Linked DNA regions of Struthio camelus. The protein of the gene in region 1 interacts with the protein of each later gene in a pairwise test. Links are inferred from orthologs where the notes say so. Each region holds a gene or a part of one and is shown in the gene's direction. Other genes may lie near its edges.

Region 1 (7,588 bases):
AGTATACTTGAAGTAGGAACTGATACTTCTGTTTTCAGCCTTCATTCATATAAGCCTTTGTCTATCACAATGTCAGTAGTAAGAAGCTTTAAAACTGTAATTCCATCCAGTTGTACACATTTCTTTCCGTGCATGAGGACAGAGTCATACAGAATACCGTCAGAGCTGGATTCCTCTCATATTGAAAATATGAGCAAACACCTGCCTGTTTACCACCAAGCATATCCCCCTGTGGGGGGGATGCTAATGAGAGTGTGGTAGCCTGGCCTGTCCACCTGGTAAAAACTATTTCCACTGCAAATTCAGGAACAGGTTTAACTTTTCCCCCAAGAGAGAGTTGCCCTGTACGTCCTTACAGTAAGGCATGTTTTTTTCTTATCACTTTGCCATTTACACTTGAATTATGCTTAAAAAGATATTTCTAATAAGAAAGGTAGAGTTATTAAAAAGCCATATATTTTGTCTCAGTTCTCTAAATTAATCCAGAATGTGGAAAAGCATTGAGTGATTCTAGAAAGTATAGTTACACTATGCCTTAATGATTAGGAACTGCTTCCCTTACTTATAGGAATGTGCTTTCTAGTTTCTCTTGCCTTTCAGAAAGGGAATGTTATTTTCATTTTCAAGCGTACCGTGCATCCAGACTGAGTTAATATTTTATATAGGACTTTTACATTTCCTTTAGATAGGAAGATTTCCATATCAACTCAGTTTAAGGCAAGGGCAGGCCTGTAGCACTTCATTAAATGTCTTTGTCATTAATGAATTTACAGTTTTCACAATTTTACCATGTATTATGAGACAAAGATTAAACATGAATGCAAATTATAAAGGTATATTTCCTGATGGCGTAAATGTTATCCAAAAACTCTACTAAACTCAGGATAATCTTTAAACACACAGACATAGAAAATTAACATTTATATTGTAGCGCAACATAAACAAGGTCTCATTTTTACGTGTGGCATTAGAGGTTAAGAATTGTAAAGCTGGCAAAACTCTAAGCTAAAAATCTGAGATAATTTAGAAGGGCTTCAGTGTTTTCATATCAAAGTCTGCATGACTGAAAATCTCTTTCTCACACTCAGGAAAGCTAAAAAATTCCAGACATTTGGGAGGGTCCTACATAGGAAGTATTTTTGGCTTTTGCTTTCAGCATATTTCACATTTTTAGGCAAGCTTACAGTAATTTTTCAACCACTGAAAATGGCCATAGTCTTGTACTTCCAATTTTCACTTTTTTCCTAAACCTTTTTGTCACCTGCATTTATACTGACAGGAGGTAACACTTGACTACAGGTTTCTCAGGTAGAAGCAGGTGTTTCAGCCCTTGAAAAGCAGAATTTGAGGTAAGGCATACACATTTCATTTAAAGTACTGGAATGCTTCACAAAGCGATATAGTTTTCTATTTCAACCTTTAACATGCAAAACAGCTAAACGGCGTACAGATCGCTTAGGGTTTCTTTTTTTTTTCTTGTAAGAACATTAGAAAGATCTTTTGAGCTCGTTCCTAATGAACTCATTCCCTTTTTCCTTCTGGCTGCTATCTTATGCTGCAAAATTTAAGCTTTCTTTCATTCAAACAAAACAAACAAGAAAAATGCAGATCCTCAAATGTACTGAGCTCTAACTGTGGGTATAGCTGCAGGTTTGCAGTTTCCAGTGTTAATCATAACGTAGGTACACGTTTTGATTACCTCTCCTAGTTCTTCCCCTTTCTTTACCTTGTCTGGAGAATGCCTGTTGCTCCCAAGGAGCAAAAATGAAAAGTGTAGAACTGTGTATGCCAACTTGATACTATACAGGATGTAAAGGACAGTTTTTTGACAGGTTTTTCTATGGACCCTGCTTCACAGAAATCTACTGGCCTGCAATAAGGTAATATTAAAAGCGTAATATAACATAACTTTCCATGAGGAGGAAACAAGTGCTCATCTCCCATTTAGCTCATGTAACTTGGGAAGCAGCTAACAGAAAGCTGGTAAGAGTCCAGTGTCCAAGCAAGGGAGTTACGCCAACTGACGTTTAACAGTATAACTGAGAAAATCATTCATGACAAATAATACATATTTCTATGGTTGAGGAAATAACTTTTGAAACAGAAACGGAATATAAATATGAACTGTAAGTAACGTTAACCTGAAGTTCCACAATCACTAGTACTGGATTTTGAGCAATTAGCCAAAGCATATGATGCTGAGTTTCTGCTGGCTTTGTTCTTCTAAGCCAGCTTTGCCTGACTCCAGGAGGACAAAAAGACAGACCCAACGTAAAGCCAGTTAACCCACCTAGTTATTTTGAACAAATCTGAACTGGCGGTGTAACTTTGTAGTGATTTACTGCTCCATTATCATCTCATTGTTGCATTTTTTATGCTACACTAAATGCATTAAAAGCAGACTAACCATCAAAATACTTAGACTGAAGGGTGAGCACTGACCTGAAGATCAACGTTTTTCATTCCTCCCACTGCTGAGGGTCACTCGTAATGAAAGGAGCATCAACTGCAGTGCATATTCTGAACTTTACAAGGAGTTGCAAACTGCGGCTGAATTCCACTAAGAAGCAGCAGCAGCAGAAAACAAGCTTCAAGCCTAAAGTGTAGAATGCTCTGTTGTCTGTGGGGTTATTAGATGGAACCCGCATCAAATTTTTTGATTGCATTTTCACTGCTAACTTTGGTTTAAAATTTCCCAGATCCAGTTTTCCCTTACACTGCTTGAAAACGTTTGTGACTCAACGCCAATGGAGTTTCTTGTTTTAAGATAGCATGATAGCTGAAGAATCTCTCACATAATGCCTGTCTGAAGCATGCTCCATGTTAGTCTGCAACTGGCTTGTTATCTGAATCAAATCCTGAAACAAATGATCTACACTTTAAATTACTACTGTCAGATTTGGAGAGGAATTCAACTTTCACTAGGCATTTCCAGAACACTTCTTATGTGATACCCATGTTGCAGGAAAAACATTGGGTAAGGTATGCTGAAAAATAAATTGGACCATCTAATTTATTCCATTTGGGCTTAAAAATAAGTGATAGTAGTCAAATCACAGTGGAGTAGCAGCATTTGCTCAGGGTAGGCTCTTAATGGAAGAAAAATATTTCTACCCACAGTTCAGACTCATTGTCTAACAAACTGAGCAGATAAAGTGTATAGAACAGTAAGAACTGAATAGTTTCTTCATTTTAGATATATATTATTAGGAATGCAGACAATGACCACAGCGTATCATTACTTGCAGTGGGGGTAAAATTAAAGTCCCCAAGCTAAGCTTCTCCCTTGTATTAATTGCTTTCTTATACTACACTAATTAATCAGTAGCATCAGACTTTTTGTGGGTGGGTGCCGGATTTGCCTGCAAATTCTCTTTTACCAAAACGGCCCTCAGCAGCTTCATCTAGCCAAGACGGTAGCGATGGCTGGGTAAACACAAATGACAGCCTCTGTTGTCATTGATCGAACAAACCAAAAGCAGGACGTTCTTTTTCTCAACAACAGTTTAAAACCATTCTCTTCTGGCGACGTAAAGGAGTGGATGCAACCAGTACTCACCTGGTTTCACATCTATGTTTTATGGGCAAATTAAAATAGATTCACATTTCAGTTCTTCTTAGCTGTGAAACTACAGTATGGTTCCCACAAACATAGGATGTACGTTCAGATCTAAATATTAAACTTCTCACCATACAATTTATTCAAGATTTATAGCAGTGTATATTCCCAGCAAGCACTATGTAAATACAGAAAGATTTAACTCACTTGTCCTAAAGACTTTGCAGTCTTACGATTCAGTCCTACCACTTCCTCAGCGGGGAGAGACTATTGTGAATTTTTTGAAACCAGCTCGATGCAGTGACTACACCCGCCTTTTAACTTTTCCAATACGTTAGAAGGGATTCCAGCATCTTTGAACATAAAATTTATCACAGCTGCCGCAGTTATACTAGGAGACGAGCTAGCGCTTTCCTGGTTGGGTTTCTTCTCTAGGCTGGCAGCGCGTTAAGTGGAAGTGAAGCACTTCGCTACCGGTAACAGAAAGTTCGGCTACTGTGGGAGAAGACGCTTTAAATGTATTTGCGAGGCATTCGCTTGAGCACACTGAAGACCAGCACGTGACAAACGCTGCAAGTCGATCACGCCGGGGAAGCCGGTGCCCGAGGAGCCGCGGCGGCGACGCAGCCCGCGGCACTCCCGCAACAGGTTGTAGGCGGGCGCGCCAGGCCCTCCTTACCCCCGCGGAAGGGCGCAGGGCCGGGCCCGAGGCACCACCCGCGCGGGGTGCGCTCACCCCTTGCGCGGCAAGGGAAAACACCCCGCCGCCGCCGCCGCCTCACCGCCACGAGGCGGACCCTCGCTGTGGAGGAGTGGGGGGAACGGACGGAGCGGGAGCGGGACGGCGGCGGCCCCTCCCCCCCCGCGGCAGCGCTGCCTCGCGCGCCTCTCCCGCCTGAGACGAATTTAAACTGCGTTACTATCCCTCGCGCAAAGCACTAACGCCGATGGAACCCGCGCGCCGCTGCCTTTTTCCGCCCGGCAGCCAATAACAGGGCCGTTTCGTTCCCCTCCCCGCCAATCGGGGCGCGCCTTGTTGCCGGCTGGGAGAAGCGCTCGGTGCGCGCGCCCGCCGCGGAGCTGGGTCGCTGGCGCGGGGCAGGCGAGTCCTTCCCCCTCCCCTCCCCGCCCCCTCCCGCTCTGCCCGCGCTTTGTTGGTGCCTCTCCCGGGCGGGCGGCAGCCGGCGGCGATGCCCGAGTTCCTGGCGGACCCGTCGGTGCTGACCAAGGAGAAGCTGAAGAGCGAGCTGATCGCTAACAATGTGAGCCTGCCGGGCGGCGAGCAGCGCAAGGACGTCTATGTGCAGCTCTACCTGCAGCACCTCACCGCCCGCAACCCGCCGCCCGCCGCCGCGCAGCCCGACTTCTCCAGCGACGAGGAGCGGGAGCCCACGCCCGTCGGCGCCCGGAGCCGGGGTGCCGCCGTCGGCCGGGTGAGCGCAGCCTGCCCCCCCCCCACCGCGCTGCCTGGGCTTCCCGGCGGCCCCGGCCCGGTTTCCCGCCCGAACGGGCCCGCCCGCCCCTGCCGGTCCCCGCGGCTCGGGGGCTGCCGTGCGGCGCCCGGGCTGCCCGCACGCCTTCCCGCCGGGGCGGCTGCGGCGAGGCGAGGCCCGGCCGAGGGCGCGATCGCGCCCCTGGCGTGAGGGAGCGGGGTCGGGGCGCGCTGCTAGGCGGCCGCCCCGTACCGGCGGGTTTCTTCCCGGTGTGACCGCTAACTGGGACCCGCGGTGCCCGGCAGCCCGCCGGCTTTGCCCCCGGGTCGCGTCCCGCGTGTGCGCCTCTCGGTAGCGGCGGCTGCGGCGCGGCCCCCGCTGCGGCGGCCGCGGAGCGCGGCTGAACGCGGGAGCCGCCGCGGCCGCCGGGAGTGCGGGACGTGAGATCCCCGGGCTGTAAACTTGGGACGTCTCGACTTCGATTTGACTGGCGGTCTCGTTGCGAAAGTGCTCAAGTGTTGGAGAAACAAAGCAAGAGAAAGTGTGCACGAGGCTTCGTCTCAGGAACATTAGACAGGAGCCTCCTATAAATTCAGTTGCACTGAAACAACCCTGATCTGAATGTCCCCTCTCGGATGGGAGGATGAAACTGTGGTGGAACAGCTTCTTTGTTTTGCTTAATGGAGTGGACTCTTTTAGTGTAAAGAGTGTCTGCTTAATATAGTTGGCTTTCTCATACCTCTGAGCACGTGTTTCATAGCAAAATGCCTCTGCTGCAAGGATTCAGCTGATTAACTGTTACTTGCTCTCCTAGACTTTATACCAGCATGTGTGCAAGGAAAAAGGTGTAGCTGTAGCTCAGGACACTTAAACTTTTTCTATGTTCGATAATATGATTTTTTTATTGTTATTTTAGTAAGTGCCTTGTAAATTTATGTATACTTTAAAAAGCAATCTTTTCATAATCTGAAGCTGAACACACTGACTCATCTTGCGTAAAGGTTTCTGCGGTGTTTGCCGGTTACTAGAGTTGTAATTCGTATAAAAAAAACTCGTGTCTGCAAAAAATAATCTTTCAAAGTTTATCTGTAAAGAGGCTGCAGAGGACCAGACTTTTTCGAAGGTTTTTTGTACTTACAGCATATACAAATCTGAACAACTAACAGTTCTTAGTTTAAGAAACTGAAAATTGTAACTGAAAGAGGAAGAGATTTTTAGTTAAATTGCTTACCTCTTTTTAATATGTGCCTAATTCAAATACTGAATTGATGTTCACTGTAGAACACTTAACCGTGGACTAGGCGCTTCTCCAGTTCAGTGATCTGCCTGTAGCATTTTAAGGTGCTTTCAAGTAGAAGAGAATGACCTTGAATTTGAGTTGTAAGAGGAGGGAAGTCTCAACTTCTGAAGTCCCAAGACCTGATTTTTTTCCCTCTCCTTTCTCCAGTCCTTTCACTTAAACAATTATGGATGACTATTTTATTGTTTACAGAATGGGTGGTACTCTTGCACTTTGGTTAATAATGTCTGCAAGGCTCTGTGCTAGTTATGCTAGTCTTCCTGTGTGTTAACTTCCGAGCAGTGCACCTTGATGCAAAACTTCAGAGAATATTGTAGTGGCAACAGTTGGAATTTGGTGGGTTCTGCTTCTTTTGCACCCCTCCCCTCCCTGATAGCTCAGTTGATGCATAGTACAACTTAGGCAGTTCTGAACCTACTTGTAGCTTGATTAGCTGTTGTGCTGCTTTGATTTGCTGTCCTTCCAATAGAATAACATACAGGCCTCCAGAGTGATATGTCTCCAAAATGTTTGGAAGGGAGAAAAGGAGTGAAGAAGGTCTGATGTGTAGAGGAGTGGAGTTCTGGTATGGAGGCAAAATGAAAGAAGCTGGTATGAGTGATTACTTTCCCTCCTGTTGCTTTTTAAATCTATGTAAGAGAGGAAACTGGGAATATAGGGAAAAGGGAGGAAACTGAGGCTTGTACTCCTCTGGATAACTTCATTTTTTTTATTTCAAGTATTTGTTTTATGCATTTTTGTAAAAGACCAGAAAACAGTTTTCAGTGGGTGCATATGGAAATGCAACTGCGTTGTCACCTGTGTAAGTATAACAGCATTGCTTTTTTATTTTTTTGTTAGGCTAGGATATGAGTAACAAAATTGCAATGCTTTATTAGCTCCATTTTTATGTATGTTACAGGTCTGGAAAAATGACAGTACTGACTTACGTATATTGAAAGGAAAATGCAACCAGTTGTTCTAAATCTGTAGACAATCAGCTATTTAATGTAATCAAGCATTTTGATGTTTTAGAAACACATTACAAAAATATTCTGTGGGATTTTTTTAATTGGTCTGCTCTATTCTGTGGTTCCCATATTGCTCTTAAATTTGAGTGCTGTTTAATTTGAAAATTGCAAGAGGTTTTTTCAATCAAGGATGACTCAATCGAAGCTAGTATTAACTTGTAAATGCCTTTGAAAGAGCACTTGTGTAGTTTTCTGTTTCAGAGGGTTCTGGCCCACTGCGCTTTCTGTGATTCCTGATTTTTGGTGTTCCTTTGGACATAGCTTAACTTTGTGCATTCATTCTGTA
Region 2 (7,528 bases), on another chromosome or scaffold:
CATACTATTAATTTTCTCTACTTACTTTGGTGCTTTGTGTCCTCCTACTTCTAGAAGCATTTTTTAAAGTGAAAACTGAAATTCTAGAGCAGAAATCTGTAGCAAGCTATAAGTCCTATGGTGGAGAAAGCAGGGTACTTCCCAGACCTTCGGAGGCTGCAAGTAACTTTTAATTACTGTCAAGCTGAGTTGAATTTGGGCTGATAAAAGAATGGTTTGTGCTATATCTTCAGTCCTTAGAGCATTCTTGCCCCTTCCTAAAAAGAATGAACGTATCTGAGACATTGATTAAACATGGGTCATTCAGAGGGGAGATAAGGAATATAAGGCATAGGGGAAGTTAGACTACTATATAAAAGACAGAAATGATCCTGCTGTTAAAGATGTATGAATAATAGAGTGCAGATCAGGGCAGAATGCGAAAGAAAAAGGCATGGCAGCAGCTGCTGAGAAAGTAAAGCAATTGAGGTAAGAAATAACAGTGGAGATCCTGTGTCCTCAGATTTGTGAAAATTTCAAAGTTGTCATGAAATCTAAGATAGCATCAGAAAGCTAGTTACACAAGAAAACTGCCTGGCAAACAATTGGGAAGATGCTCTACATCAAAGGATGTGTGAGGTTTTACTTTGTCTTTAGCAGTGACTGTGAGCAATCTCTTCTTCTCATGAGAGAAGCATTCTAGTGCTAGGCAAAGTCTTTTGCTACCGTCAGTATTCTCTGACATCCCAAGAATTTATTCTTATCCTACTGAGACACTCAGATATGTTGGAAGTACCTCTGAGCTAGAGCTCCAATGCTGAGCCTGAGGGACTTCCAAGTTCCTGACTTTATAGCGAGGTGAAACCTGTACACACACCAGTCTTCTCCTGTTCTCCGGTTTCTACAAAAATGAAGAAGGAGGGAGTGAGCAGACAGGAGCCTTGGTGTGCTCTGAACAGGTTCCCAATCTGAACAGCTGAGGGAACACAGTCCCACTGTATGCCATGGCCCTCTGCCATCCCAAGCAAGTGACATTGACAGAGCCTTGGAGTGTCCCTTTATTAAACAACAAATGGTTGTGTCCTGGGCTAAAAAATCAATTCTACCTTCTGAAAGCAGCGAGGGAACTTTATTATTAAATGTTTTTAGTAGCACTGAATTGTCAAGGTCCTTAATGAGAAAATAATTACTAAGAACTGAGAGATGAATGACTGGTTCAATACTAAACCATATCATTAGAGCAATCAAGAGGACTAGTATTTGAACAGATGCTAATTCCATGACTAAAGCATTATACTCCATCTAAAGCAGCAGTTGTCTAGCTGGCTCTCAGCTTTTCTCTTTACACTTCCTTTACATAGTTGATCCTTTCCTCTCCCCATCCCACCCCCCAACTGTTCTCTTCTCTCTAGTGGAGACAGGAAAAGTGAATATAAAAGTTCAGCGAACAGGGAGAGGATACTGATAACAAGGATGAAGTATATGTATGTAAGTGTTCTGGTTACTGCTAAGGAAAGGCATCTTCCATAAAAAACATAGACAGTATTACATCTCAATAGTCCAAGTTTGAGGGAGGGATATTTAAGAAAGTGTATTTAGAAAAAAGATTTTGCTGTGACATAGTTGACAGCAGTACTATGAAAATAACTGGCAACATTAGAAGGCAAAAAAATACCTTGAAATATACAAAATTTATAAGATATTATCTAAAAAATCTGAAAAGAAGAATAGGAGAGTTTGGGCTAAGCTTCATGAATAAATGGGATTTAAACCTGGATTACATTACCAATCAAAATGCTGCAAAGGGTTTAAAAGGATTTCCAAAATATGACAGATGAGTGCAGTGTAGTGGCAAATCATGAAAGGAAAAATAAGCTAACCCGAAAATGCTTGTACAGAGGCTTTCAGAATTCCTAAAATAGTTTCTTCTGGCTTAATCTAACCGAATTTTATTACAGGTCTTCCACATACTGTGTTGGAATTGTGTTGTGTGGTGCAGTGTTGGAAACTGTACTCATTGGGAGGCAAAAAGTTCATAGTAAGTGCATGGCTTAGTGTTTACAAATACTCCTGTGCTTTGCTTGGGGGAAGGCAGCTATATTTGAAAAGATACATAACACGCACATCCTAGAAACTCCAGCAAGAGGCATGTGGCTGAGGGCTGGAGCTGCTCCAGGAGCAGTTGGTTTACAATTTGCAGACAGGCGCCAAAATTCAAAAAACGCACTGTACTTCAAATCCAGAGACTCAGATGAAAACAACGCAGAAGGAGGTGGCTCCAAAGGCTTCTGGGCTGTCCTCACTATGGCTCTGTCTGTGCCTTGAGTAGGCAGAGGCTGCATAATGAGACTTCTGCGCTCAAAGAAGAAACCGCAGCACTCTGGGATTTGTAGTCTCTCTTTTCCTCGTCCTTTTTCAGATAAATTCAAGTCAAAGACAACTGTTTATGATTTCAGTCAGAAAGCTACAAGTTTCATGTTGAGTTGTATATCATATGGTGACTTGGTTAGATTATCACTGATAAAGAATATCTTATTGATAATGAAGCACTGATCTTAAAATACTATCTGAGGTCGATTAAATGCCAGTAGAAATGACATATATTGATCTATGTGCTTACTTTCATTTTGTTTATCTTTCATGAACTCCCTCCAGGTAAGCAGTGATATCCAGGGCTTCACAGACCTCAGTGTGGAAACCCCTGCTCTCAACTCTCTCTGTAGTATATAGGCAAAAAATGAATCAAGTCTATCCTAAGTCGGATACCTGAGCCCAGGTGGGATGAACTGCAGTGTGGAGGGCACTCTCTGCTGTCTACAGACAAAGCCCAAATGACTTATTTCAGATCAGATGCATATTTTTGAACAGATACATTCAGATGAAAATGTACTCTCTATATGGATCAGCTGCTGAGAAATGCAGTGTTTCAAGAGGACTTACAGCTATTCACTGAGAACAGACGATGAATGTCCAGAATTCCTGAGTTCAATCTCAGGGTTTTCAGTATGAGGCATACTTGATATTTGAATCCCAGATCCTCTAACATGAGAGCAGTCTAACTTCTGTTTGGAGGATAAGCCCTTTTGTGCCTATTTGGCCAGCCTAGCTTCATGTGTTTCTTCTCATGTTAAACATGCAGTATTTTCTTGCCTTTTCTAATATTTCTCTGTCTAGATCTGTCTTCCCGCTCATGCACATCTCTTCTTTGCATTACACTCATGCTGCTTTTTTCTTTTCTGTGCATGTACCACTGCTTTATCTTAATCTGGTTTTCCCTGTTCTCAGGCAGGAATTCTCTCTCTCTTCTCAGTCGTCTTTGGTAGCCGAAAGACACAACTCCCCTAAATGCTTTTCAGACTCCAAAGTTCTGAGACATAGGGCATTAGCTCATGGGAATGCTAATCAGTTTTTACCGGTTAATATGTAAGAACTGATAGAGATTGAGGAATAGTTAGTAAAAATATGATCTGGGAAAAATAATACTCCAAATCTCTAGGAAGTGAAACTTTCTAGGAAGTGAAACTTTCCAGGGGTTTTTATTTTGTACAAATTTGGCTGCATTCCTTGGGACAGCAAAAGGATTTCAGGATAACTACCTTCTTGAACTCCCTGATTGAAGGCTAGCAGGCATTATTATCTCAGTAAAAATCTGGAAGGAGTTTCTGAAATCTACAAAGCAGCCCTCCTAAAAATCCACCCTAGGAAATAGCTGATATGTATTTTTCCTGAAACTCCCCACTGTCAATGTGAGCAAAGAGCAGACAATTGGCCTACAAAATTTCATTGCTAACAGCAGAGCATGGCAAAATTATAAACAGCTGAAAACAGAGCTCTATAACAAAGTTTTAGATAACTAATGTGAAAAGATAGACTGTAAGAGAAGTATTGCAAAGCTTTCAATAAAATTGTAAGAATTAGCAGCACTGCATCACTTGTAATTAATGTGAACTCTTCAAATCAAAGCATTTGATTGTACAGTTACGTTTTTACTGGATCTTTTTTTCATGAGCTTTATTGGGCTTTATTAATGCAAAAATGAGAGAACGTACTCAGAAGTGACCTGTTTTCTGGCGATTGCTATAGCAGTAACAAGAGTTCCTAGAAAAAAATGTTCTCCTTTCCAATATGCAGGACTGCTTCACAGGTCTGGGGCACCACAGGGAACAGTCTTCATTTCTCTGACTTAGAGGCCATAAGACCACGAGGCCGTTACGGTGGTGGTAAACGCTTCAGCAGAGCCTGAACTGAAGCTGTGGAGGGAGAATCACTTCAGGACCAGGGGGACCCATTGCCCCAGGGCATGAGGTACTGGGGCAAACACGGAGCCGGAGCCAGCGCGGGGGTGGGAGGTCCCCGCCCTCCTGAGGAAGCGGGCCATCCGCCAGCAGGAGCCACCGCACAGCGCGCTAAGGGCCGCTGCCGCCGGCAGGTCCCGTCAGCACTGCACGGCGCTGCCCGCGACTCACAAAATGGTGCCGGTCGGGACTACATCTCCCGGCACGCCCTGCGGCGCAGGACTGCCATCTTGGCGCGGAGACTTCATTTCCCAAGCGGCGCGGCGGCAGGGGAGGTGGCGCCCGCCATCTTAGCGCTCCCTCCTCCCCCAGTGCGGCTGGATTGAATGAGCTGGTTGCCCGCCTGCCCGCGAGGAGAGCGCCATGTCAGGCACCCCGAGCCGCGGCACCCCCGGCGGGACCCCGCTGTCGCCGACTCGCATCTCTCGCCTGCAGGAGAAGGAGGAGCTGCGGCAGCTAAATGATCGTCTGGCCGTCTACATCGACCGTGTGCGGGCACTGGAGCTGGAGAACGACCGGCTGCTACTGAAGATCTCCGAGAAGGAGGAGGTCACCACTCGGGAGGTACGGCGGGGCGGCGGGAGGGTCCAGGGTGGCTGCGCTAGCCCTCGCCGGGGGCTTCCCGGGGCGGGAAGGGGGCAGCGGCTGCCCGTTGGGGGCATTTCCCCCGCTCCTGCCAGGGGAGGGGGTTCCGCGGCCCGCGGAGCTGTGCCGCGGCCGGGCTCGGCGGGCCCCTTCCCGCCGCGGCGCCTCCGCCTGCCCGTCCGGCGCCGAGAGCCCTGGAGCGGCTCCGGGGCAGCAGCGAGGTGCGGCGGTGCAGTGCGCGGCCCGTGGCGCCGTCCCCGCCCGGCTGTGCAGTGCCCTGGGGCAGGTAGTCCTGGCTCTGCCCAGTTGTCCTGCTCCGGGCTGGAGGCGACAGCCGCCGGGGCCGGGCGGAACCTCGGCGTCTCTGCGGGAGGCTGTAGAAGTCAAACGTCTCTGTATCTGAATGGCCCTTTGGGGGCTCTCTGTCTTGCCGTTAGGTGGGGAGAAGAGACTCCTGGTGACACCTAAACTAGGATAAGGCCAGTATCGACACTGAGTGAAATTCCCACGCCTGGAGCAAACTCTATGTCTACAGCTGGACTGGAGTGGCACCGCTGGCTGCCTCTGCAGGCTGGTTGTGCTGGAGCCCTCCTTTAGGGTGAGGCATGAGAATAGTGCCCTTCCCAGGAGTTAGGGTATTGGGGTCTAGCGCTGAAAGTGTAAGCTGCTGCTCTTATTTTGCTCAGGTAGGGCTCGCAGCACAAAAGATCTGGTTCACTGGATCTTCTAGTTCCTGCTGCTGATACAGTGCTCGGGGTCCTGTCAGTTTTTGTGCAGGTCTGTTCTGCTGTGGACTACTACTTTGCTATACTCTGTAGCCTGTTCCCTTATCACAGGTAAGCTGGTGAGCTGAGCACTGGCCTTGGTGTACTCCCACGTGGTGAGCACATCCTGTGAGCTGCAACAACCTGAACGTCACCTTTTCTTTTATGGTCCCCACTCTGACTGCTGATGTGATAAGGTGAAAAAATCTGAAAGAGTTTAGGCAAACTTTGCTTTTTACAGGAGATGATCTTTGTTAGCCCCTCTAGAACTAAGTGTGTCCTTGTAGCGTGAACCACTCTTTGCTGAGTGTTCCCATCATGATAGGGGATCTGGGCCGTTTCCTGTGATCTTGGAGGCAAACTGGCTGATACTTTTGTTTTTTGTTTTTTCTAAGCCATGCTTTGCTTCTCCCTATTCTGCTGTATCTGCTTTCCCCCAGGACTCTCCTTCCCATATGAAGGAAGGATGTAGTCAGTGACCCAGCTGGGGACAGTCCCACCTATCCTGTACCAGTCAAAACCCCCCACTTGGCCATCTCTTGGAGGCACTCTGCAAGGTAAGGTGTCCCACCTCACAGATGAAGTTAAATTTCTGTGGAAAGCCTTGTGGTTACCTGCTTGGTAACTTGTGTTGATGCAAAGGACTGCTGTGGACTGCAAAGGACTGCTGCTATGTAGCTGCTTTTATCTATCTATATATATACAGTGTGTGTGTATGTGTGTATATATATATATATATATATACATATAAATGTGTGTATATATATCTAATACTAGGGGTACTGGGAGGAGGGTTGGAATTACTGCACTTTAGTTGAAATGGACCAAATATGATAGTGTCTTGTTTTGGGAGTGATCTGCCTGCCTAGTTATTTCTGTACTTCCAGAAATCAAACACTTTAAAGTCCATTTGTGCCACTTAATGATATAATTTCTATATTTTCCAAATAGCTTGATTTTTTTTTTTTTCTAAACAAAATACATTCTTACATCTTTTGTCCTGTGTGAAATTATGCTTGAAACAGAATAACTGTATCTGGTTCAGAGAGCTTCTAAGCTGTAGGTTGTTGGAGGCTGGGAGAGTACAGAAGGGAATATGCGTCTTAGAATTGCCGTCTGCCTCCTGCATTTATTAACAGTGTGCATGTAACGAGAGTAAAAACAAGGCAAGCATGAAGCATACGTATATTCTCATTAGGTTTTTAGCATGAACATAAACTGACTTCTGTTAACTCTTCAGTATTTAATCAATCCTTATTGATTTTTAATAAATCCTTATTTTGCCCTTGAGCTTACTTTCTTCATTTTTATCCAAGTTTTTTTTTAAAAGTCCTGATTCTTGGACATATTCTAATAACTTTGTCTGGATTCCTCAGGCTCTGCTGTGGTATGTCAAAGGCAGTGACTTTAAGATACTTTTACTGGTCTCTGGACTGCATTTGTTAGATGCTTCCCCTCTCCCTTTGTTCTATACACATATCTGAAAGAAGAGACTTGGAAGTATTGTCAGTGTTGTGAAGTGAAATAATGGTCCAGAGGTTCAGGGCTGTGTGAACGCTAAAACCTGCAATGGCTTTGAGATTTTTCAGGTTTACTGAAATGAGGGAATCCTGTACTTCTGACTTTCGGAACCAATCTGGTAAAAAAAATTTTTCAGCTAACAGTCCAATTTGATTGTTAAAGTGTTAGAATGTATGTTCTAAAAATGATTAAACGCAGTGTGAAGTAAGATGCTAATTAAAAAAAAAAAAAAAAGAAAAACCCCCAAACTACTGTGCAGAAGCACAGTTAAGCGTAGTCAAGTGATAGTGACGTGCTGTTCTGACTACATCATTAAATCTTTGTATTAACTCTGCATCTTTAAAATAACCCATTTTCTTTTTCCAATGTATTCAATATGAACAT
Region 3 (7,176 bases), on another chromosome or scaffold:
CGCGTGCGCGCGCGCCGCCGTCCTTTGCCCCACGCCGGCCTGGGCTGGCGCCAGCTCATTGTGTGCGCTCTCCCTGCCTGCGCCGAGCTCCCCGCTCGGGGCAGCCAGAGAGGGAAAAACGTCCGTTAAAATGCGAGCGCGACCCCCCCCCCCCCCCCCCGCTCCGGCTCCAGCAGCGCTGGGGGGGTGGCAGGGAGGAGAAAACGTGGCTCGCTCAGGATTTTGCACTCAGAAACTCACCGGTTGCAGTGAAACAGGGTATTTAGGGTGCACGTGCACATGGGCGTAGCTCGGGCTACTGACTGCACGCCGAACTGCCTGATCCCGCGCGCGGGAGTGACCCTCGGCGGCTGCGGGCAGAGGATGCAACGCTGGGAGGGGGCAGGAGGGCCCGGGGTCCCCTCCGCCGCCCCGATCCCCAACGCGCCCGCGCGATGCTGGAGCCGCTTTTCCTTTCGACCCCTGCCCGCGGCGGGGAAGGGCAGCCCAGCAGCCAGATGCTTTTCCCGCTGGGCTGCCTGGAGCGGCCGCATCCTCGCGGCTCGGCAGCCCCGTCGCCGCACCAGCGCTCCGGGGTTCGGCGAGCGTGGAGCGGGCAGGAAAGCCCGGGGCACCTTCGGCCCTGCCTGGTGCTCTGGGTGCTCCTCTCTGCTGCGCCCCGAGTCCCTGCACCCCTGGGTGCTCCCTGCCTCCCCCGGCTATAGCCCGGCCAAAGGGGGCTTCAGAGCTTGCACTTTAGGATTGCTTTTGCTACTCCAGAGCGCATCCGCCACCCAGACAGGGTTCGTTCGTGCTCCCGAAAGCGAGGCACGGGGCTTGCCGGGGGACGCAGGCGTCCCCTTGGCTGTCGCTGCGGGGCGCGCGTCTGCCCCAGCCTGAGCAAGCGCCGCCGTTCGCGTCCCGGGAGCTCGGAGGCGACGCGCTCCGCCGTCCCGGGCGGACGTGAACCCCCGCGGGCCCCAGTCTGCAGCTCCGCAGCCCTGTCCGGCGCGTCCGGCTCTCCGTGGGCTCCGCTCTAACCGCCCAGCGGCCCGTCGCGGGGCCGCTCGCGGGGTGTCCCGCCGTTCCCGGGCAGAAGTCCTCCTGGATGGCTCCGCGTCGCCCTTCGCGGCTCTCCTTCCTGCTGGCGCATCCGAGCGCATCGTTGGCCCTGCCCTGGCTCCTGCTTGCTGCAAGTTTCAGCTCTCTCAATAAATACAACTGGTAAATCTATTAATTTTACAGCTCTAATTGATGTATTGCTGCAATTACCTTTTATAACAAGGCAATTAAACCCTATTAAAGATTATTAGCTAATTAAAACTCCTCTATGCGCACGCACAAACCCCCTTACGCGGGTGGGCTGTGGGTGGGAAGGAGGGGAAGCCCCCAGCGGCCGGGGCCTCGCGGGTCAGCCCGGCGCTGGGTGCCACGCGGCAGGTCGGGACGGCGGCCGGGGGACGCGTCTGCCACCGCGGCGCCCTCCGTCCTTGGGCGGCGGGACCGCGCTGCTTCGTGCCCTGCTGCGGATGGCCGGCCCGCCGGCTCTCCGCTCCCTGGCGTCGCGTGGGAGCAAGCTCGGGGGCCGGGATGTTGCCCTCCTGGGGGAGGTAGGGTTAACGGCGCAGCAGAGAGGGTTGGAAAGGGAAAATCCCCGTGTTGGAGATAGGGTGTGCCTGCTTTGGAAAGGGAACAGCTGGAGAAACGCCCCGGCTGGGGCCAGGAGCCAGGGGAGCACCCAACAGCGGGAAGGCATCTCCGTGGGATCACGGTGCCTCCGTCCGGCGTTGCTCCGGGCCTGCGAGAGCGGGAGACGATCCCAGGCTGCGTAAAAACCTGGGAAATGAAACCCCAGGATCCTCGGGAAGAAGCAAAACCGGAGAGAGAGAGAGAGAGAGGAGGAGAAAGGTTGGGCTGCGAGGGCGGCTGTGGCGGGACGTCCGCAGGGCTCGTCCCTCGGCAGCGCCTGTCCCGGACGCGCTCTCCGTCCCCGCCGCTCCCCTCGCTGCCCCCCAGCCCTCGGAGCAGCCGCGCTTCATCGCTGGCCACGTGTGCACATGTATGTTTGCATTGTGGCGTTTGCAGGCACCCGACGTTTCCGGGCTTTTTGCAGGCCAAAGAGCTTTGGAAGCTGAAAGGAGGTTGAAATTCCAGGGATGTGACTGCTTTCTGCTTTCTGAGTCACCGCGGGAGCTGGCCGGGCAGGATACGGGAGCGTCTCCGCGAAGGGCGCAGCCTCCCCGTCCCTCCGTCGCCCCTCGCCGGTCCCCCGCGCTCTGCGCCGGCAAGCCCACGGAGCCCGGCCTTTCGCTCCCCGAGCGCTCGCTCGTGCAAACCGCAGGAATTCACGTTGGAGGGGCCCAAGCGCCGGGCTGCGCCCCGACCTGCGCCGTGCCCCAGCCGGGGAGGGAGGCGCGCGGCCGAGCCCGGCCCAGCCCGTCCTCCCCGCTTCGCCCGTCTCAGCTGGTTCCAATTAAACCCCCCTCCTGCCTTGCGTAAATGACAAAAACGCCTCTCTGCCATCTGGGAAGCAGCCGGAGCCGGTGGCTGCTGGGGGTGCTCAGCCCGCGGGGTCCTGCGCCGGGGGCTGCCGGGACCGGCTGCGCCAGTGACCTTTAGCTGTGATTTTTAAGCTATTGCTCAAGCCGGTCCCTTGCTCCCAAACGCGCTTTGCCGTGTTAAAGCACGGCTGCTTTAACCCCCCCCGGCCGGCCGATGCACGCCGCCGGCGGAGGGTGCAAAGTGCTTTTCTGCTGTCCCTTCCTGCCCGGCGTGGTTTTTCTTTTTCTTTTTTTTTTTTTTTTCTCCTTTAAAACAAAACAAAACAAAGCTGCGGAGCGGAGGAGGCCGTTGGCGTCCCACAGTGCCCCGCGCGCTGGCTCGGCCGCGGCGGCGCGCCGGAGCCGGCGGCCAGACCCCGCCTTCGGCGGCGGCGAGCATCGGCCCTCGGGGACGGACGGGCAACCCGGCGGATCCGGGAAAGGGATGAGGAAAAGCAGCCGGGCACGAGCGCCGAGGCAGAACGAGGGCGGAGAAGGGAAAAGCACCAGCGGGAGGGAGGGAAAAGCTCGCACGATGCAGCGAGGAAGAGGAGGGAGCGAGCGGGGCAGGCGCCCCCGGAGCGGGGAGGCAGCTGCGGCGCCGGGCAGCGGACGGCATCGCCGGCCCGGCACCGCGCGCCCCGCTCCGCGGGGGTCTTCGCCGGCCCGACGCGCAGCGAGCGGGAACGGGGAAGGGGTACGGCGAGGCCCCGCTGCCAGCCCTCCGCCCGGGCGCCTTCCTCGCCGGCCTCGGGGCTGCTGATTTTTTGAAAGCCGGCCGCTGGATTTTCGCCGTCCCGCTCGCCCGCCCCGGCTGCCGTTCCTCCCCGGCAGCCGTGACTCATCGTTGCCGTGCAAGGAGCGGGGTGGCGGGGGATTAATCACCGCCGGCGCGCGCACGCGTGTGCGTGTGCGTGCGTGCGCGTGTGTGTTTGTGTGTGTGTTGCTCCGGTTGCTGCGTGAGTCATTCCCGGCCTGCCGGCGCCTTTGCTTCCCTCCCGTTAGAGGCAGTTCAGCTGCGTTGCAACGGGAGCCCGGGCTGCGCCCCGCGGGCGCCACGCTGCAGCGCCTTGCACCGCGCCGGGGGAGCGGCGGGCGCCCGCCGCCCGGCTCCCCGTCCCCATCCCCGTCCCCATCCAAGCTGGCCCCGGGAACTGGGGGGACGGGGAATGGCTGGGACTGGGAACTGGGAGAACTGGGGCGACTGGGATCACCAGCGCTGGGAACTGGAGAAACGTGGGGGGACGGCTGGCCCCGGGAACTGGGGGAACGGGGAATGGCTGGGATTGGGAATTGGGGGAGTGGGGAATGGCTGGCACTGGGAACTGGGAGAACTGGGGCAACTGGGCACAGCTGGTGTTGGAAATTGGGGGAACTGGAAACTGGGTGCAGCTGGCTCAGGGACTGGGGGCAATTGAGAAACTGGGCACAGCTGGTACTGGGGAGAACTGGGGCAACTGGGAGCTGGGCGCAGCTAGTGCTGAGGACTGCAGGAACCGTGAGGACCAGGCAAAGCTGGTGCTGGGACTGGAGGAGCTGGGGAAACTGGGGGAGCACTGAGCCCCCTCTTTGGAGGTCTGGGGGTGCTGCAGCAGCGTGGGGGACCCCGGGGTGCTGGCTTTGGGGCCCCAGGGCTCTGTGTCTGCCGTGCCCTGGTGCTCTGGGTGCCGGGGGGGGGGAGCTGGCACCCAGCTCGCTGTGGGGCAGCGGTGGCGGCGGCAGCGTCCCCCACCCCGCGGCCGAGGCCGGCTGTCCCCAGGCCCGCTTTTCCCAGGGATGCTTTCCCAGCCTTTTCCCAAGGAAGGGGCCCTGGCGCTTGACGCAAGCGGGGCTATCTCCTCCCCGCTGGCCGATAACTCCACCCTCCTCCTCCTCCTCCTCCTCCTCGCCGCGGCTCCGCCTGGCAGTGCGCAGCCCAGCTGGGATATAAGCAAGTCACTCGGGCAGCCCGGAGCAGCCGAGACGCTTGGGACGCGTGCCGTGTCCTCGACGCCGGGTTTCCCCCCCCCCCCTCCCGCCCTCCCCGCCATGGCGACGCCTTCGCAGAAGAGGAGCACCCGCAGCGGGGCGGCGGGGACGCCACTGTCGCCCACCCGCATCACCCGCCTGCAGGAGAAGGAGGACCTGCAGGAGCTCAACGACCGCCTGGCCGTCTACATCGACAAGGTGCGCTCGCTGGAGCTGGAGAACGCCGGCCTGCGGCTCCGCATCACCGAGTCCGAGGAGGTGGTGAGCCGCGAGGTCTCGGGCATCAAGGCCGCCTACGAGTCGGAGCTGGCGGACGCCCGCAAGACCTTGGATTCGGTGGCCAAGGAGAGAGCCCGGCTGCAGCTGGAGCTGAGCAAAGTGCGGGAGGAGCACAAGGAGCTGAAAGCTCGGTGAGTGCCGGAGCGGGGACGGAGGGGGACGATGCCACCGCCGCCTCTGCCCGGACGACCGCTGTCGTCACGCTTGGCAGGCGGCGAGGACGCGGGAGCCGGGAGGGAGGAAGGAGCGGCGCGGAGGAGGCAGGGAAAGGGGAAAGCCGCGGCCCGGCCGGGGCAGGAGCGCCCGCGGCGGGGGCGGCTCTCCCGGCGTTCCCGGCTCCCGTCCCTGGCGCCATGTTCGCCCGGGTGCCCTTGGAGGGGGAGGCGGGCGGGGGGGGGAAGCAGAGCCGGTCGGCGGCGTCCTCAGCTCCTCGGTCGGGGACCGGGCGACGTGGGGCGCGAGCCCCGGGCTCCGGCCCCTCCGAATCCGTCGTCTATTCCTAAACGCCGCCCGGCGCGAACCGGGAAGCGGTGCCAGCCAGCTGGCTCCGTCCTGCCGACGCAGCTCTCCGGCTCGTCCTGTTTTCCTCCGCTGTCTTTGGCAGCTGTTAAAGAACCTGCTCTGCTTTTGCTCGCCTTAACCCTGCCCGCGCCGGACCGGTCCCCCCCCACTGCCACCGCCGCGGAGATGCTCGGGCAGCGCCCGCGTCCCTTCCCTCCCGCCGCCGGGCGCCCCTGCCCTTCCCCGGTACCCGGCCTGGGCGCCCGCGCGGGGCTCGGCCAGCCCGTCCGTCGATGCCCCCGGGGGAACGGCGGCGAGAAACCTGCGGGCGCGTCTCCCCCTCTTCCTCCCGGCTCGAGCTGAACGCTGGCTGTCTCGTTTTGAGTCCCCGTCCGAGGGACTAACGAGGCTAAAATTAACTCGCTCGGAACACGCCATAAATAATCCTACCTACTGGGAAGCGAGCGACTGCGCGGCCCTGTGCAGCTGTCTCTGCAAAACCGTGCGGCGTTTTATATTTAGCTTTGTGTTTTCCCTCGCCCCGGCTCGTGCCCGCGGCGCTGCTCGGCTCGCCGCCGGCATCCCGGCCGCGCCGCGCTCCGGCTCGCCTCCCGCAGCTGGCGAGGCGACGGGCAACGCCTGGTTTACGCAAACGCCGAGTTATCTCGGCCGGGATCTTTCGAGAGCTGCGCGCTGGCTGGGGTGGGGGGAAAAGATAGATATATATATATATATGCGCCCGGCCTTGCACAGCAGAGCCGTTTGCAAAAACCGTACGGCTTTTCCCCGCTCCCGCGTCGCGGTTGTCCCCTAAGGCCGGCGGACGCCCCTTCGATCGCGCAGGAAGGGGGGCTCGGCCGGGGCAGAGGGGCGCGAACGGGCCGCCGCGGCTCGGCGCCGTTGCCCGAACCCTTTCGGCCGTCGAACGCGCGTCGGTAAACAGGGAGGGGAGCTGCGGGCGCAGCCCGGCGCTGGTGGCGTCGGCGGAGGGGGCCGGGCGCCGCTCTCGCCTCTCCCATCCGGCCGGGCTGGGCCCTACCGGTCCTGCCGGCTCTCCCGAAGCCCTGGGTCAGCGCCGGGCGCTAACACCTCGCCCAGCTCATAAATAACTTGCAAAAACATCCCGGCCGCCGCGTTTTTCCCCCCCTCCCCACCTCCCCTGCAACGCCTCGACCCCGGGCGGAAGCGCGCCGGGTATCTCCCGGGCGGCAGGCGGCTCCGGCCGGGCGTTATCAGCGGCCGGCAGCGCTGCGCCCGCCGCGGGGCCGCCGGTTGTCTCGGCGGTGCAGGAGGCAGGGCGGGGGGCTCGCGGCCGGCACGGCACCCGCCCGCCGGGGCCAGAGGGGCGCCGGCTGCATGGCGGTGACGGCGGCGGGACGGGCTGCACGGCAGCGTGCCGGTGCAAGAGCCGCTCCGTGCACGGAGCAGGCTCCGGCTCTGCCCCCGGCCCCCCTCCTGGTGTGTTTTGCCCCAAAGGGACCCCCGGAGCATCCCGCCGGGGCCGGCGAGGGGTCGTTCCCGGCTGGCTCGGCCGAAACAGGAACCAGGCTCCAGTTAGCAGCTCGTCTGATGAGCGACGGCTTCCTGAACTGCAGCCCCTAACCCGATTAAGCCGGCGGCTTGGCATCGCCTCTTCCTCCCCAGGGCCCAGATCTCATTCCCGCACGGGTGGATTTTGCTCCGCTGCGGCGTTTTGCACGGGAGGGGGGGAAACCTTCAACCAGCCGGATGGTCCCTCCACCTCCCGATGCGTCCCCGCTCCGGTCCCATGGAAATTTTTCCCCGGGGGAGGGTGGGGGGGAAAAACAGTTTGGCTGGGGGAAGGATCCGCCCTTTGAGAGCGAACAAAGAGCGGATTGTGCAAGGCGGCGGGCGACGCCGGGCTGGGCCGGGACCCCGCGGTGCCCGA

Evidence for each region. The genes of interacting proteins can lie anywhere in the genome.
Region 2: the proteins of TMPO (region 1) and LMNB2 interact in a two-hybrid assay, tested with the Homo sapiens proteins (2 studies listed by BioGRID, with this or other methods). The link is inferred for Struthio camelus from reciprocal best matches to the Homo sapiens genes TMPO and LMNB2.
Region 3: the proteins of TMPO (region 1) and LMNA interact in a two-hybrid assay, tested with the Homo sapiens proteins (2 studies listed by BioGRID, with this or other methods). The link is inferred for Struthio camelus from reciprocal best matches to the Homo sapiens genes TMPO and LMNA.

What each region holds. Positions count from the first base shown.
Region 1 is NC_090942.1:53,314,659-53,322,246, forward strand, and holds the start of TMPO (thymopoietin), read left to right. Parts: upstream 1-4,584; 5' UTR 4,585-4,749; coding exon 4,750-4,992; intron 4,993-7,588. UniProt on the Homo sapiens protein: May help direct the assembly of the nuclear lamina and thereby help maintain the structural organization of the nuclear envelope. Possible receptor for attachment of lamin filaments to the inner nuclear membrane.
Region 2 is NC_090967.1:1,606,829-1,614,356, reverse strand, and holds the start of LMNB2 (lamin-B2), read left to right. Parts: upstream 1-4,528; 5' UTR 4,529-4,637; coding exon 4,638-4,838; intron 4,839-7,528. UniProt on the Homo sapiens protein: Lamins are intermediate filament proteins that assemble into a filamentous meshwork, and which constitute the major components of the nuclear lamina, a fibrous layer on the nucleoplasmic side of the inner nuclear membrane.
Region 3 is NC_090971.1:3,833,959-3,841,134, forward strand, and holds the start of LMNA (lamin), read left to right. Parts: upstream 1-4,176; 5' UTR 4,177-4,295; coding exon 4,296-4,897; intron 4,898-7,176.